Linked DNA regions of Stegostoma tigrinum. The main gene of each other region encodes a partner of the protein of the gene in region 3 in a complex. Links are inferred from orthologs where the notes say so. Each region holds a gene or a part of one and is shown on either strand. Other genes may lie near its edges.

Evidence for each region.
Region 1: med12 (region 3) and med23 share a complex: the UniProt entries of both Homo sapiens proteins name them as parts of the mediator complex. The link is inferred for Stegostoma tigrinum from reciprocal best matches to the Homo sapiens genes MED12 and MED23.
Region 2: med12 (region 3) and med25 share a complex: the UniProt entries of both Homo sapiens proteins name them as parts of the mediator complex. The link is inferred for Stegostoma tigrinum from reciprocal best matches to the Homo sapiens genes MED12 and MED25.

Annotation. Positions count from the first base shown.
Region 1 is NC_081357.1:71,147,604-71,152,496, forward strand, and holds the start of med23 (mediator of RNA polymerase II transcription subunit 23), read right to left. Parts: upstream 3,136-4,893; 5' UTR 2,894-3,135; coding exon 2,747-2,893; intron 1-2,746. UniProt on the Homo sapiens protein: Required for transcriptional activation subsequent to the assembly of the pre-initiation complex. Component of the Mediator complex, a coactivator involved in the regulated transcription of nearly all RNA polymerase II-dependent genes.
Region 2 is NC_081391.1:15,913,414-15,918,306, reverse strand, and holds the start of med25 (mediator of RNA polymerase II transcription subunit 25), read right to left. Parts: upstream 3,362-4,893; 5' UTR 3,211-3,361; intron 1,028-3,210; 5' UTR 982-1,027; coding exon 848-981; intron 1-847. UniProt on the Homo sapiens protein: Component of the Mediator complex, a coactivator involved in the regulated transcription of nearly all RNA polymerase II-dependent genes.
Region 3 is NC_081368.1:38,216,488-38,221,380, reverse strand, and holds the start of med12 (mediator of RNA polymerase II transcription subunit 12), read left to right. Parts: upstream 1-1,713; 5' UTR 1,714-1,736; coding exon 1,737-1,835; intron 1,836-4,893. UniProt on the Homo sapiens protein: Component of the Mediator complex, a coactivator involved in the regulated transcription of nearly all RNA polymerase II-dependent genes.

The DNA.
Region 1 (4,893 bases), on a different chromosome or scaffold from region 3:
GACAACTAAACAACACACTAGAGGAGCAGGCTTCACAAACATCCCCATCCTCAATGTTGGAAAAGCCCACTTTTGTAAGAGTGACCATCAACCAAAAGATAAGGTTGATACATCACAGCAATCTTCAGCCTGAAGTGCCGAGTGGATGATCCATCTCAGCCTCCTCCAGTGGTCCCCAGCATTACACATTCCATGCTTTCAGTTAATTCAATTCACACCATGTCATATCAGGAAACAGTTGGAGGCACCGGATTCTGCAAAGGCTATAGCCCTGAAAACATTCAGCAATAGTACTGTACACCTGAGCTCCTAAACTTGCAGCTCCCCTTGCCAACTCTTCCAGTACAGTTACAACGCTGGCATTTATCCGATAACATGGAAAATTCCCCAGGTATATCCTGTGCCTAAAAAGCAGGACAACTCAAACCTGGCAAATTATCACCCCCATCAGTCTGCTGTCAATCATCAAGAAAGTGATGGAAGGTGACGTCAGTGTTATCAAGCAGCACCTGCTCAGCAGTAAACCAGCTGATCCCCAGTTTGGGTTCCACCAGGGTCAATCAGCTCTTGACTTCATTACAGCCTTGGTTTAAACATGGACAAAACAGGTGAATTCCAGGGCTGAGGTGAGAGTGACAACTCTTGACATCAAAGCAGTATTCGACTGAGTGTGGCAAGAAGGAGCACTAGCAAAACTGGAATCAAGGGGTATCAGGGCAAACTCTCTGCTGGTTGGAGTCATACCTGACACATAGGAAGATGATTGTGATTGTTGGAGATCCCAGAACAACTCTGCAGGATTCCCTCAGGGTACTGTTCGAGGCCCAATCATCTTCAACTAGTTCATCAATGACCTTCCCTCTATCATAAGGTCAGAAGTGGGGATGTTCACTGACAACTGAAATGTTCAACATCATTTATGGCTCCTGAGATAATGATGCAGTCCATGTTCAAATGCAACAAGATCTGGACTTTATTCAGTTATGGGCTGACAAGTGGCAAATGGCTAGTATCATTCATGCCATACAATGCCAGGTTATGGCCATCACCAAAAATAAACAGTCTAACCAAGGCTCCTTGACATTCAGTGTTAACGCCACTAAATCCCCCACTGACACCATCCTTGGTGTTACCATTGACCAGAAATCAAGAATGTGATGGAATACTCTCCAACTTGCCTAGATAGGTGCGATTCCAATGACACTTAAGAAGATCAACATCATTCAGGACAAAGCAGTCCACTTGATTGGCATCACATTCACAAGCATCCACTCCCAAAACCAACAATGCTCAGTAGCAGATATATGTTTGATCTACAAAATGCACAGCATAAATTGACCAAAGACGGTCGGGTTGAAAGGCTGAGCAGGCTTGTTGGGCGAATGGCCTAATTCTGTTTCTTTTCCCACGGTCTTAAAACAACTTCCAAACATACCACTTCTACCTAGAAGGTTGAGGATTGCCAATACATGTGAACACTACAACCTGCAACTGCCCCTCCACGCCACTCACCACTCTGACTTGGAAATATATCACCATTCCTCCACTGTCGCTGGGTCAAAATTCTGGAATTCCCTCCCTAATGGCATTGCGGGTCAACCCGAAGTAGGTACAAGCTCACCAGCACATTCTCAAGGGCAACTAGGAATGGGCAATAAATTCTCTCGCTCTCTTTCTGGTGGGTCTCACTCTCTCCCCACTCCATCCCCCTACTGGTGCCTCACTCTTACTAATGTTAGCTCTGTCTCTCTCCTCTAACCCTAACAATTTCTCTCTTGCTCTCTTTAACCCAAAGTAGATTTCTCCCTCTTCCTGTTATCTCTCTGTCTAAACCTAACCCAATTTCTCTTTTGACAACATACGTTTCAGAATTTTAATAACTGTACATGGACTGGAAAAATTAACTGAGCTAAATCGGTACACATGGATTGAAAGAAACGGCAATAACTCGAGATAAACTGTTTCTAGAGATGAAAGGAAAACTGTTTCTAGAGATGAAAGGAAGAATGAGAAACTGTTAGAAAAAGGGATTACAGCGACATGTGAATTAACCACCCTGGGAGAAAAGAGCTACAGGAACAACATAAACAAGCTGTTTCCTGGGAGACAAGAGATAACATTATTTGACAATCTGCTGCCTCATCACATTTGGGCAATTTAGACCTGCCTGCAGAAGTAATGTTTTGAAGAGGGGGAAAAAAGCCATGTTTCAAAGAGATCTTAACGCAACGGGGAACAATGGAGCTAATTTTTTGATATGAAGGCAAGCAGCAGACTTGAAATCTCCAGAAGTGTAATCAATACTGGGGATGAGCAAACCTAAAGGATATCAATAATGTCATACTGCGATCTTGACAGACAGAAAGTTGTATAAGAACCCAACACCAGAACGACTCAACAGCAGAACTAAGAAGAACAACACTAGAGAAGGACCGAACCCTGGAAACCTCCAGAGATACAACACTGTTGGTTGGAAATCTGGCCAAATTTCACCATTAATTGGGTACTGAGTAAATTTAGTCACAGGCTTATACTTGCTCAATAGTTTAAAGTATTGTTTCAGTACTTGATTGTCTGTGAGATTTCCTAATAAGTTGCTGAATTAACGGTAGCTTGTGGTGATTTACTCATAACAGGCACTCCTTCACTCACTCCTTCCTTCCTTCCTTCTCTCCCTCCCTCTCCCTGGTGTATCTCTCTCTCTCTCTCCACCCTATCCCCATCTCTCTAACCCAATATCACTCACCACCACCTCCTCGAAGATGCTTTGGAGCTGTGTCTCCATGGAAACCGCCATCTCGCGGCCCCCTGCCACCGCCGCCGCCTCCCCTTCGATCCACGGAAGCCTTGAGCAGTTTCCGCTTCCGGGATGAGCCGTTCCGTCTCCTCTCATCCTCCGCCGTGCTCCGATGGCCTCCGCACTTTCTCAAAACAGCTTCGTTTCAAAGTTTCCTTTCCCCGTTTGCAAGTGCGAATTCGAATCGAAAAATAAAAGCAGTATTCCAAACGATTCACTTACACATTCAGATTTCAACTACATACGCTGTAAACTGGCGGAGACTTTTACATTCAGCCGGTGCCTCGTTGAAAGCAGCGACAGTGAGTGAGGCCCCGGCTTTCCTGTTTGCTTGAAGACTGAACGCCCAAGGCCACTGCCCCCGTGCGGCACCTGGAGGAAACAGCAAAGCCCTGTGTCAAATTGTGAATTCCACCTCAGACACCACCCAGAACTTTACAAATTCATTCCCGTGCCCAAATTACCCTCAAATTTCCCCCAAAAACCTCATTTCGAATCGATCCAAAAATAGATTGGGTGCGAATCTATGTCGGAACCCAGGAAAGCACTTAAACCGCAGGCTATATTCCTTCTTTATGCATGGAAATTGAAGTTTCGACTCATTTCAGCATTGTTCTTGCAAGGGAATTTTTTAAAAAAATTTCATTGGAAGTGCGCCTCACTGGACAGGCCCACTTTTATTAACCATTCCTAATTGCCTTGCAGGACGTGGTAGTGAGCTGCCTTTTTGAACTGTTGCATTCCACCTGAAGTAGGGATGCTCACAATACTGAGGTAACAAGGTGCAGAGCTGGATGAACACAGCAGGCCAAGCAGCATCAGAGGAGCAGGAAGGCTGACGCTTCGGGCCGAGACCCAAAACATCAGCCTTCCTGCTCCTCTGATGCTGCTTGGCCTGCTGTGTTCATCCAGCTCTACACCTTGTTATGTAAGATTCTCCAGCATCTGCAGCTCCGACTATCTCACGCTCACAATGCTGTTTGGAACAGAGTTCTAAGATTTTAACCCATCAATAATCGACAAACAGCCTTATATTTTAAGTCAGAATGGGGGGAAATTTGCATGTGATAGCCTTCTCATTTTCCGTTTTAGTAGTGCTGGGTTTGGGAGATGCTGTCAAAGGAGCCTAGGTGAAGTGCATTTTGTAAATGGTACACACGGCTTCTACTGAGCTTAGGCGGCAAATAAAAATGTTGCTTAAAGTATCAGATTACCTGTGCCTTGTCGATACTGGACACGTTTTGGGGAGTTAGGTTTACTTGCCTCAAAATTTCCAGCCTCTGACCTGCATTGGCAACCATACTATATGGCTGGTCTAGCTCTGTTTTTGGTCAATAGTAACTTCCAGGATGTATATAGTCAGAGATTCAGGAATGGAATTGCCGTTAAATATCATGGGAATGGTTAAATCTCTCTAATGGGAGATGTTCACTGCATGGCACTTGCATGATGTGACTTTTATTTGCCAATTCATAGCTCAAGCCTAAATATTCTCCAGATCTTGCTGAATATGAATTAAGACTACTTCAGTAGCGGAGGAGTTGTAAATGACCCTGACTTTGCACAATCATTAGTGAAAATCCCTATTTCTAACTTTATGATAGATTGAAGATAATTGATGAATATCGTTATGAATATGAATATCGGACACTTAACTGTGGAGCTCTTGCACCGGTGCCCTGTGACTGCAATAATTGGCCTCTAACAAGCATAGCCACCTTCTTTTCTGTTTAATATTCTCCTCTGGTGAGTTTTTCATGTGATTGCCATTGACTTCAATCTTACCATACTTAGTCAATATGTTGCCTTGATATCAACAGCAGTCACTGTCACCTCAATCATGGAATTCAACACTTTTATCCATGTTTCAATCAAATCTATAATGAGGTCAGCAGCCAAGTAGCCCTGGTGGAGGCCAAATTGAGCATTGGTGAGCAGACATGGAAAAGGCAGCAAATGAATGTGCAATAGATTGGAGTTGTGATCTGTGCATTTTACTTTTAACCCCTCTGCACAGACCCTTTTCTAATTGAGGTGGTGGGTGAGGTAAAGATTAAGTGTCGAGTATCAAGACAAAATGAAGGAAGTGAATTACA
Region 2 (4,893 bases), on a different chromosome or scaffold from region 3:
CTCTACCAGGGGTGACAAATGTTCAACTAACTAGGACTCATTCTGGAAAGCCCTCTCTGAATCTGCCCTTCTCCAGTCAAAATTACCTACAGTACAGAAAAGTGCTATTCACTTAACTGGCTACAGCCTGATATTTGTCTCCTCCCAGCACTCCTTTTTAACCACAATTTTCACACTCTGATCCTTCATTTATGTATTGACCTTCCCCCAATTGTAGCAGTTGTTTCAACTGTACTATGAAGCATCACATTCCACGTTCAAACTATTCTCTGGGTAAAGATGTTTTTTGAGTTCCCAATCAGATTTACTAGCATCTAGCTGATATTTGTGATCCCTAGCTGTGAACTTGTGAGCATACGGAAACATCTTCCTGATGTATAGCCATTCAATCATCCTCAGTCTCCATCAGGTCATCTCTCAGTCATCTCTTTTCTAAAGGGGCACAGTCTGTAAAATCTTGCACTTTGTTCCTCGAAGGGTCTGTTTGACTACCCCTCCATATATCATTTTCATTGGCTTCAGCATCTGGGTCTCCCTTACAGCATGGTGAAGCAAACTTTATTCCCTATCACAAACAATACGACTTCAAATATTTATTATATCAACCTGATCAATGCACAGGGAGTGATTCCCTTACACCGGTACAGGAGTTAAGAAATGGTGGAACTGGGTAAGGGAGGGGACAGGCTTCATTTCCATAAGAACAAGAATGAATCAGTCGGTTTTGCGCACAGCACCTTTGGGACGTTAGCACAATGCCACAGCCACTAGATCATAGCATTCCCTCATAGAAAAAAGCCAACTTGGTCTGCTTCGGGTAATCACAAACAGTACAGGGTCCACTTACTCAATTGCTGGAAGAATATAATGCTTCCGGAGAGATTCAAAGTATGGCCCAAGGTTCGCGGTACCTTCGATAACAAAAACCACATCTGCTACCATGTTGGAAGGGGTGGGAGTATCAATAGGGGGCACAACCATGGTGTTCGCAAGTCACTGTGAAGCCTTTGCTTTTACACAGGGGCAGCTGTATGGAAAGAAAAAAATAACCAAGTGTTCTGTTAACAGATACGACTCCTATTACAAGTTAGGCTAACGTCCAAGGTAACACTACAGTTTAGAGATAGTAGGAACTGCCAATGCTGGAGAATCTGCGATAACAATGTGTAGAGCTGGATGAACACAGCAGGCTAAGCAGCATCAGAGGAGCAGGAAAACTGATGTTTCAGGTCGAGACCCTTCTTGACTCAAAATGTCAACTTTCCTGCTCCTCTGATGCTGCTTGGCCTGCTGTGTTCATCCAGCTCTACACATTGTTATAACACTATAGTTTGTGTGTGTTTCGGTCCTGTAGCAATATTCTTACATCTCAGTAATTTTTTTTGGCTGCAGGGCAGGAAGAAGAGTGGAGTGTGGAGGGAAGAGACAGAGGTTGACTGTACAAAGAGGGTTAGTCGGATTGGAAAATTGACATACAATTCAATTAAGACAGGTGCTATTAGGTTTTGACTGTAAACACCTCAGTTGGAGAAGTGTGAGGGAGTAGTCATTTTTGATATATAGATTTTAAATAACATCATTGCCCACAGTCCAAAAGAGAACAGATTGAAATTTTAGCCAAAAAAGGGCCAAAAACAGTTCTGAGGAAGGGTCACGGGACCCGAAACATTAACTCTGATTTTTTTTCCCCCTTCACAGATGCTGCCAGACCTGCTGAGCTTCTCCAGCAACTTCGCTTTTTGTGCCAAAATCCTTACACTGCTTTAGATTAAAAAAGTGTTACATAATATGTTCTTCTTGTTACCATCGAATTTATTCCCCAATGTTCATCAATCTACTCTGACTTGGTTTTTATACCTCTGGAAAAGTTAGCCCTGTACACAGCTCTTCTGGCCCAGATCCAGGGAGACCACTCTGTGCAGCAGGACCACCAACTGTGTCCCAATTGTTCCCAGAGATGAACTAATCACTGACTAAGGATATAAAGGATACTGAGCGAGTACAACAATTTTGTTAGAATGGTACCAGGGAAGACTGAAGAAGATGCAAACTATCACCCTTCAAGCAGAGGAAGTTAAGAAAGGAACTCTCTCCTACAAATGGCAATTTATGCTACGGCAATGGTTTGTTTCAAAATTGAGATTGATAGATTTTTAACCAAATATAGAGGACGTGGTTCAAATGTGACGATATGCAGCAAGGTTGGAGGACAGCTACGAGATTTCTGAAAGGCAAGACTGCTTAAGCTGAATGGCCTCCTCCTGTTTTGATCTTACTAAATTCAAAGTTATAAAGAGAGACAGCCAAGCACTTAAGTCATAAAGAGCTACCCACATTCCTCACTTACAGTTTATTTTTCAGCCATGAAACGGTGCTAAATCTCCATCCATTCAATTCTCTCCTTACCCCACCCCACATCATCAGCAAAAAGTCCAATTCTCAGCTGTTTTCAGTTCTGATGAAGGATCACTGGACTCGAAAGCTTAACTGCTTTTCTCTCCATAGATACTGCCAGACTGTATTTCTCTAGCATAACAAAGTGTGGAGCTGGATGAACACAGCAGGCCAAGCAACATCTCAGGAGCACAAAAGCTGACGTTTCGGGCCTAAACCCTTCATCCCCGTCTCTGATGAAGGGTCTAGGCCCGAAACGTCAGCTTTTGTGCTCCTGAGATGCTGCTTGACCTGCTGTGTTCATCCAGCTCCACACTGTGTTATCTCGGATTCTCCAGCATCTGCAGTTCCCATTATCACTGTATTTCTCTAGCACTTTATTTCTGATGTCCCTATCTCCTGGAGCAGGTAGGGACTTGAATCCAAATAAATAAAACAAAGAACTGTGGATGCTAAAAAATCTGGAGGGAAAAAACAAAAGTTGCTGGTTCTGCAGAAGGGTCTTTGAACTCGAAACGATAACTTTGTCTGCACAGATGCTGCCTGACCGGCTGAGTTTTTCTAGCAACGTGTGTTTTGGTTTCAAACATTAACACTTTGCCATTTGGAAAAAATAAATGAACAAAACCTGTCAAGACGTCTCGTAAAGAAATAAACGCATAATAGATATGAAAAATTTCCTTCAAAACGTGTACTGTGATAACGTGAAGCATCGGTTTTGCTTTCCAATAAATAACTGCCCTACAGCGGGGGCTCCTCCCCTTTATATGACAGTCATTCACACAGAAGAGGCTCGCCGTTTAACGATTAACGAACCTCACAGGCGGTTTCTCGCCTTTCCACATCGCAGTAAAGGGCGTTTGAATCTTTTCGATCTGACTGCAACTTCTGCTGATCTTCCCTCAGCCTTTTCCACCAGGCCGCGGGAGAAAAGCGGCTCGAGCGCAAACAGCCACCTCACGTGATACCACAAACCCGCCCGCCCACCTCACGCCAGTCAAAAAAACGTCACACAAAACGGTACCCGCCCACATGGTTTCCAACCGTCACATGACAAAACGGGGCGCCCCGCCTATTCGTGCCCAGACCACGCTTCCTTTACACGCCCCCGACACCTGCCCCACCCATTAAAAAACGTAACACTGACAGTCCTGCCTCTCCACGCGTGTCGCCGCGAACATGGGTGCCGCCCACTCTAGCCTGACCCTCTTGCCTTCTTGGTGAACACAAATAGCCCGCCAACGTGCATCACATGACGTCGTGCCGTCATGCCACTTTTACTCACCCACTCTCGCACCAAATGACGCGTCACGTAACGTCTATTTAGTCCCGCCCATGAGAGCCTCATATCCTACACCGCCTTCAGTTCGCCAGTCAGCTGCGTCACGTGAATCAGATGCAGCCCCGCCCCCTAATCCCGGTCGTCACCATTGGTTGAGCTGCATGCACTTGACGGGTCATCGCCTTCCCCAGCTGCGAGAAAACGGCGCCCTTATCTATCACGTGACACCAAAGCGGCGGCCAACGTGCTTGCTGGACCACACCCGCTTCCAGGCTCTCAGGGAAATTGATAGAGCGTTTTCAGATGACGTCCCAAAAGCCGCCCCCTTGGCCGCCATTGCCATGGTGATCAGCAAATTACTGACTGAAAATAGTCCTAAATCGGGAAGTCAGTTTGCTGTTTAGAAAATAAGTCTTGTTCTCTTGTGGAATTAGTATACAACAGTTTGCGTTCACTTATTATTTTTAAAGTACTGAAACCCATTTAATTTCTTCGAAAGAGAGATTATCAAACATAGTTTACATCGAACTGCAGAAGGAGATAGCGACTCGTTTCTGTTCCATTTTTCAGAATAAAGCCTAACCTTTATTGGAGACGACCACTTGATTCCTGGTCATGCCAAGAAATATTAGCAGTGAGAAAGATAATGGATCGGAGGCGTTTTTCCGCGCTGTAGATCCCTATAACTCGATGGCCAAAGGGACAAATCAGACCATAAAATCCATTTCAATATTGGAGACATGTGTTTTTTTAAAAAAATGAAATACGTCAAGTTGCCTTTCGTATGTTAAAGCAGTTGAGTATTGAATACCTCAACAACTCACTTGTGAAAAATCAGACATTCTTCAGGGATCGGCAGCACAAGAATTTGCAGTGGTACTTTTAACAGGTTGGTAGGACAATAAAGATCCACGGTCACGTCTTTCTTTTTCAACGTTAACTCCTACATACACTATGATCACTATTTACTCTTAGCAGACTGCACATTTCTTTCTCTGAATGTCGTACTCTTTCAGAAAAAAAGCCCGAGTGCACTTGAATTGCAAAATATGACTTGGCTAAGCGCCTGAGAATCCATTCTGCGCTGTGGCACAGTCCCAGGGAAAATATTGCTTGATTGACAGCTCTGGTACTCTGATCTCCACAATCCGTAATTGGAATGTTTCAAAAGCTTATCGTTTCTGTTATTAATACTTATCAGGGTCTGGATGAACAAC
Region 3 (4,893 bases):
GGTGGGCTTGAAATGGACATCAGTTACAAGCTGGTTGCCTGAGATGGAGACTGAGAGGTCCAGGAAGGTGAGGGATGTGCTGGAGATGGCCCAGGTGAACTGAAGGTTGGGGTGGAAGGTGTTGGTGAAGTGGATGAACTGTTCGAGCTCCTCTGGGGAGCAAGAGGCGGCGCCGATACAGTCATCAATGTACCGGAGGAAGAGGTGGGGTTTGGGGCCTGTGTAGGTGCGGAAGAGGGACTGTTCCACATAACCTACAAAGAGGCAGGCATAGCTGGGGCCCATGCGGGTGCCCATGGCCACCCCCTTAGTCTGGAGTCAGTCTGATTTTATTTCTAAAAGTAGGAATTTATTAAAAGCCACATTGACAGACTGTCTATAAATTGTGTGCTTTTTGAACAAAATAGAATGTATATGCAAATGCAAATTCACCTCACAAATTTATATGTGAGTGTGTATGTGTATATGTATATGTTTGTGTTGGTGAGGGAGAGAGAGAGAGAGAAAGTGTGTGTGCGTGTGTGCGTGTGTGTGTGTGTGTCCAAAAGCACACAATTTATAGACAGTCAGTCAATGTGTCATTTTATAAATTCTTATGTTAGAAATAAAACCAGTCTGACTTCGAACCAAAACATGAACAAATTCTAAACACCTAACATGTATTGTCTGACCTAAAATGTCACCTCTTCTTTACACCGATAATATCTTTAGTTCTCGCAGGGAAGTGACTCGAAAGAAGTTTGGAGATTCACACATACATATTAATAAATTAAAACCTTCTAACTGATTAAAGATTTAACAGCATCTTATTGAATTGAATTGAAATGTTAAATAAAAACCGAAAGAACTGTGGATGTTATAAATCAGGAACAAAAACAAGGTTGCCTGAAAAGCTCAGCAAATCTGGCAGCATCTGTGATGTCAAAAACAGAGTTAATGTTTCGGGTCCAGTGATCCTTCCTCAGAACCTCAGAAGAGTCACCGGACCCAAAACGTTAACTCTGTTTTTTCCTTCACAGATGCTACCAGACCTTCTGAGCTTTATCAGCAACTTTGAATTGAAACATTTATTGTCACGTGTATTCAATGTAAAAATACACTGAAAAGTGTGTACCTTGGCCATACATACATGGCGCCATTCACATTAATTTTTGAATAAGAAAAAAAAAATAATTTGAGAGGCTTAACTTTCCTTGCAGGTTTAATACATCCTGATCAGTTGTGTGACTTTTTGATCTTTTATTTATAAATTCTGTGTGTGCGCGTGCGTGCGTGTACTTCTTTCTCACTTCGCCTGATGAAGGGGCCTGTGTCCCCAAAGCTTAGGTTTTCAAATAAACTTGTTGGACTATAACCTTGTGGCGCATGATTTCTGACTTTGTCTACCCCAGTCCAACACCAGCACCTCCACATCATAGTTTATTTCAGCCATTAGAAAAATAGTTATCTGGAATGTTGCCCCTGGTTATAGTAGGGAATTTATGTGGTCCAGGCCAAAATACTACATTTATCATCATTTGTCCTTTTAACCAAAATGCCTCTTCGGCTACGACAATCTCCACTAGCGCTTGGAGTCGGTAAATTCCGGTAGCGCCCGGAGTCGACAATGTTCGTCAGCACTCGGAATCGACAAATTCCGGTAGCGCCCGGAATCGGCAATGTTCGTCAGCACTCGGAATCGACAAATTCCGGTAGCGCTCGGAGCCACTCGTTGGGGCAAGCCGGCTTTCCCAAAGATGGCGGCGTTCGGAATATTGAGTTATGAGCACAGGCCGTTGAAAAGGCCTCGGCTCGGGCCGCCAGACGTTTATCCGCAGGACCCCAAGCAGAAAGAGGTAGGAAAAATCGTCGAGAATCCAGGGGAGGACGGCCAGTCACTCAGTAAGGCAGCCGGGCCGGCGGGGTGAGTAAGCCGGCGCGGGGAGCCGGGCCTAGAGCAGCGTCCATGTAAACAATAAACAGTCCGTATGTATGGGTGGACTTGGGCCTAGAGTAGCCTTGCAGACAGCAGCAATAAGCTGCTCTTGTACTGTCGGTCCCTAACCGTGGGTTGGTCACCCTGTCTCTGTGAGATAGAGTTTGGGCTGGAGCACAGCTCAGCCATTTTAACAGTTAACTACTGGACCGACCTATCAATAACACCTGGTTAATATGGAAATTCGTCATAGATGGTACAAATCTTCACTGTCTCTATCTGGGAGAAACCCAGAAGCAATCAACTTCCACAGTGTTTGCGATTGATCTTGAAGCTGATATATTTTTACTCTTAAAATAATCGGGAAATTTTGAGGATCTGTTGTGCTTCCACACTCAAATTACGCCACACTATATCATCAAGTACTTTTTCTTTTCAGTTAATGTACTAGACCTCAAACCTCAAAATGAGAAGCTATTTAAGATCACTGAACCACATTTTCAGCTGCACAACATACACCGTTACTGTCATTTAGATTCTTTTTGGCTGCCCGCTGAACTCCATGTCCTCCTTAATTAATTTTGAGACCCGTCCTTTCAAGTAACTCTTGGGCCTTGCCTGATTAAAGCTTTGCAATATTTTTTGGCCAAAAAGTCCCATTTAGAATTAATAATAATAATTTCTGGTAGTACTTATAAAGTTGGGCAGAGTTAATTTTTCAGAGTGAGATGACTTGTCCTGAAACATCAGTTCAGTTTCTCTCTCTAGATACTACCTGATCACAGTATTTCCAACACTTTTGTTTTCATTTTTGATTTCCATCATTCAATATTTTGCTTTTTTCTTCCCCTCATGTACGACTTTGATTTCCTTGAATCTGTTAGAATCTTGAGAATTTTTTGGAACTGTTTTTAAGAAAGGATGGTGGAAATAAAGTGCTTGAATATTTTTAAGACTGAGGTGGATAGAACCTTATTAAGCAAGGGTTGAAAGATTGCCTGGCGGGAATGCGGATTTGAGGTTGCAATCCGATCAGCCATGGTCTTATTGAATGCTGAAGTAGACATGAGGGGCTGAATGGCCTGCTCTTGCACATTGTGGTGTGGGAATAAAAGGGCAATTATCATCATGTTTCTTACCCTCTTCATTGTGGATTCTTTCTGGGTACTGATCTTTTAAAAACAAAAGACGTGGTACAATTTCATTGGTACCTGTGATCCTCTAGTACTTTGCCCAAGTGTCTGTTGTTCATGTAAGCTTAGTGTCTACTGACAGGTTCGTTAACGAGCAAGATTGTGCTTGCGGGAGGTGAGGGGGGATGGGGAGTTCTAGGCTTTGGGACAGGGGTTGGGGAGTGTGGGTGCTCTGCTAGTGAGGAAAGATATTGGCTCAAAACTGAGGTGATACTGCTTTCAATCATGCTGTTGTAACCTCCAGCTGTTATTTGTCCAACATTGTCTTTATCAGTTCTTTGATCTTCACCAGATAAAACTCTGACTTACTTGAAACTTCAGTGTTTGCAAGCTATTTCAGATTAAGTCGACTCACCAACTACTTATGTTTCTATCAACCTTTGTTGGTTTCTTGTTCACCAATACACTGATTTCATTATCTATTCTATGATTACAAATACTACCACTGATTCATACCGGCCTAGCTCTAGTCTTACATTCATTATGATCTTCTATGTTTGCAGTTCTGTTTTGCTGTGCATCTCCACCCCACCATTCGTACTGAACATTTGAGCTGGCATTTATTAATGTTTAGGAGGAAGGATGTGAACGAACTGCTGCCAAGTTTGTAGACTACACAAGAATAGGTGGAAATGCAGGTTGTGAGAGGGATGCAAACAGTTTATAAAGAGATATTGATAGGTTAAGTAAGTGGGTGAAGTTGGCACATGGAGTATCATGTGGGAAAATGTGAAGTTGTTCATTTTGGAAGGGAGAACAAAAGAACAGAATAATTTAAAGGAGAAAAATTGCTGAAAGCTGCAAGGCAAAGGGATTTGGGGTACTTCTACATGAAACTAACATGCAGGTGCAGCAGGTAATTAGGAAGGTCAATAGAATATTAGCCCTTAATGTAGAGGGGTTGAAGTACAAGGGTAGGGAATTCTAACTGCAGCTGAATGAAGGCTGAATGGTTGGGACTCTACTCACCAGAGTTCAGAAAAATGAGTGGTGATCTCATTGAAACATAAAGGGATTGACAGTATAAATGCTGAGAAGATGTTTCTCATCATGGGAGAGTCTGAGATCAGAGGGCATAGCCCAGAATAAAAAGATGCCAGTTTGAGATGAGGAGGAATTTCTTTTCTCAAAGGGCTTAGTGTCTTTGGAACTCCTTGACCCAGAGAGCTGTGGAGAAAGTGTCCCTTGTGTATAGTTAAGGCTGAGATAGATAGATAGGTTGATGGGGAAATCAAGGGCTACGGGAAAAATGCAGGAAAGTGGACATGAGGAATGTCAGAGATAATGAAATGTGAGGCTGGATGAACACAGCAGGCCCAGCAGCATCTCAGGAGCACAAAAGCTGACGTTTCGGGCCTAGACCCTTCATCAGAGAGGGGGATGGGGTGAGGGTTCTGGAATAAATAGGGAGAGAGGGGGAGGCAGACTGAAGATGGAGAGAAAAGAAGATAGGTGGAGAGGAGAGTATAGGTGGGGAGGTAGGGAGGGGATAGGTCAGTCCAGGGAAGACAGATAAGTCAATGAGGTGGGATGAGGTTAGTAGGTAGGAGAAGGAGGTGCGGAGTCCATTGGGGATGATCCGGTTCCATAGGCAGGTGCTGAGGAAGGTGATGTGGCTGTGGTACCTGGTTTGCTTCAGGACATGGTCGAGCAGTTTCAAGGCCGAAGAGATTACAAGAGAGTTGCAATGGGAGAGAGATTCTCTGAGGTTGGTCCGGAGGGAGGAGGGTAACTTCTTCAGGTTAGGCATCCCTGGAAGAGGCTTCGCAGTGAGGTTAAAATTGT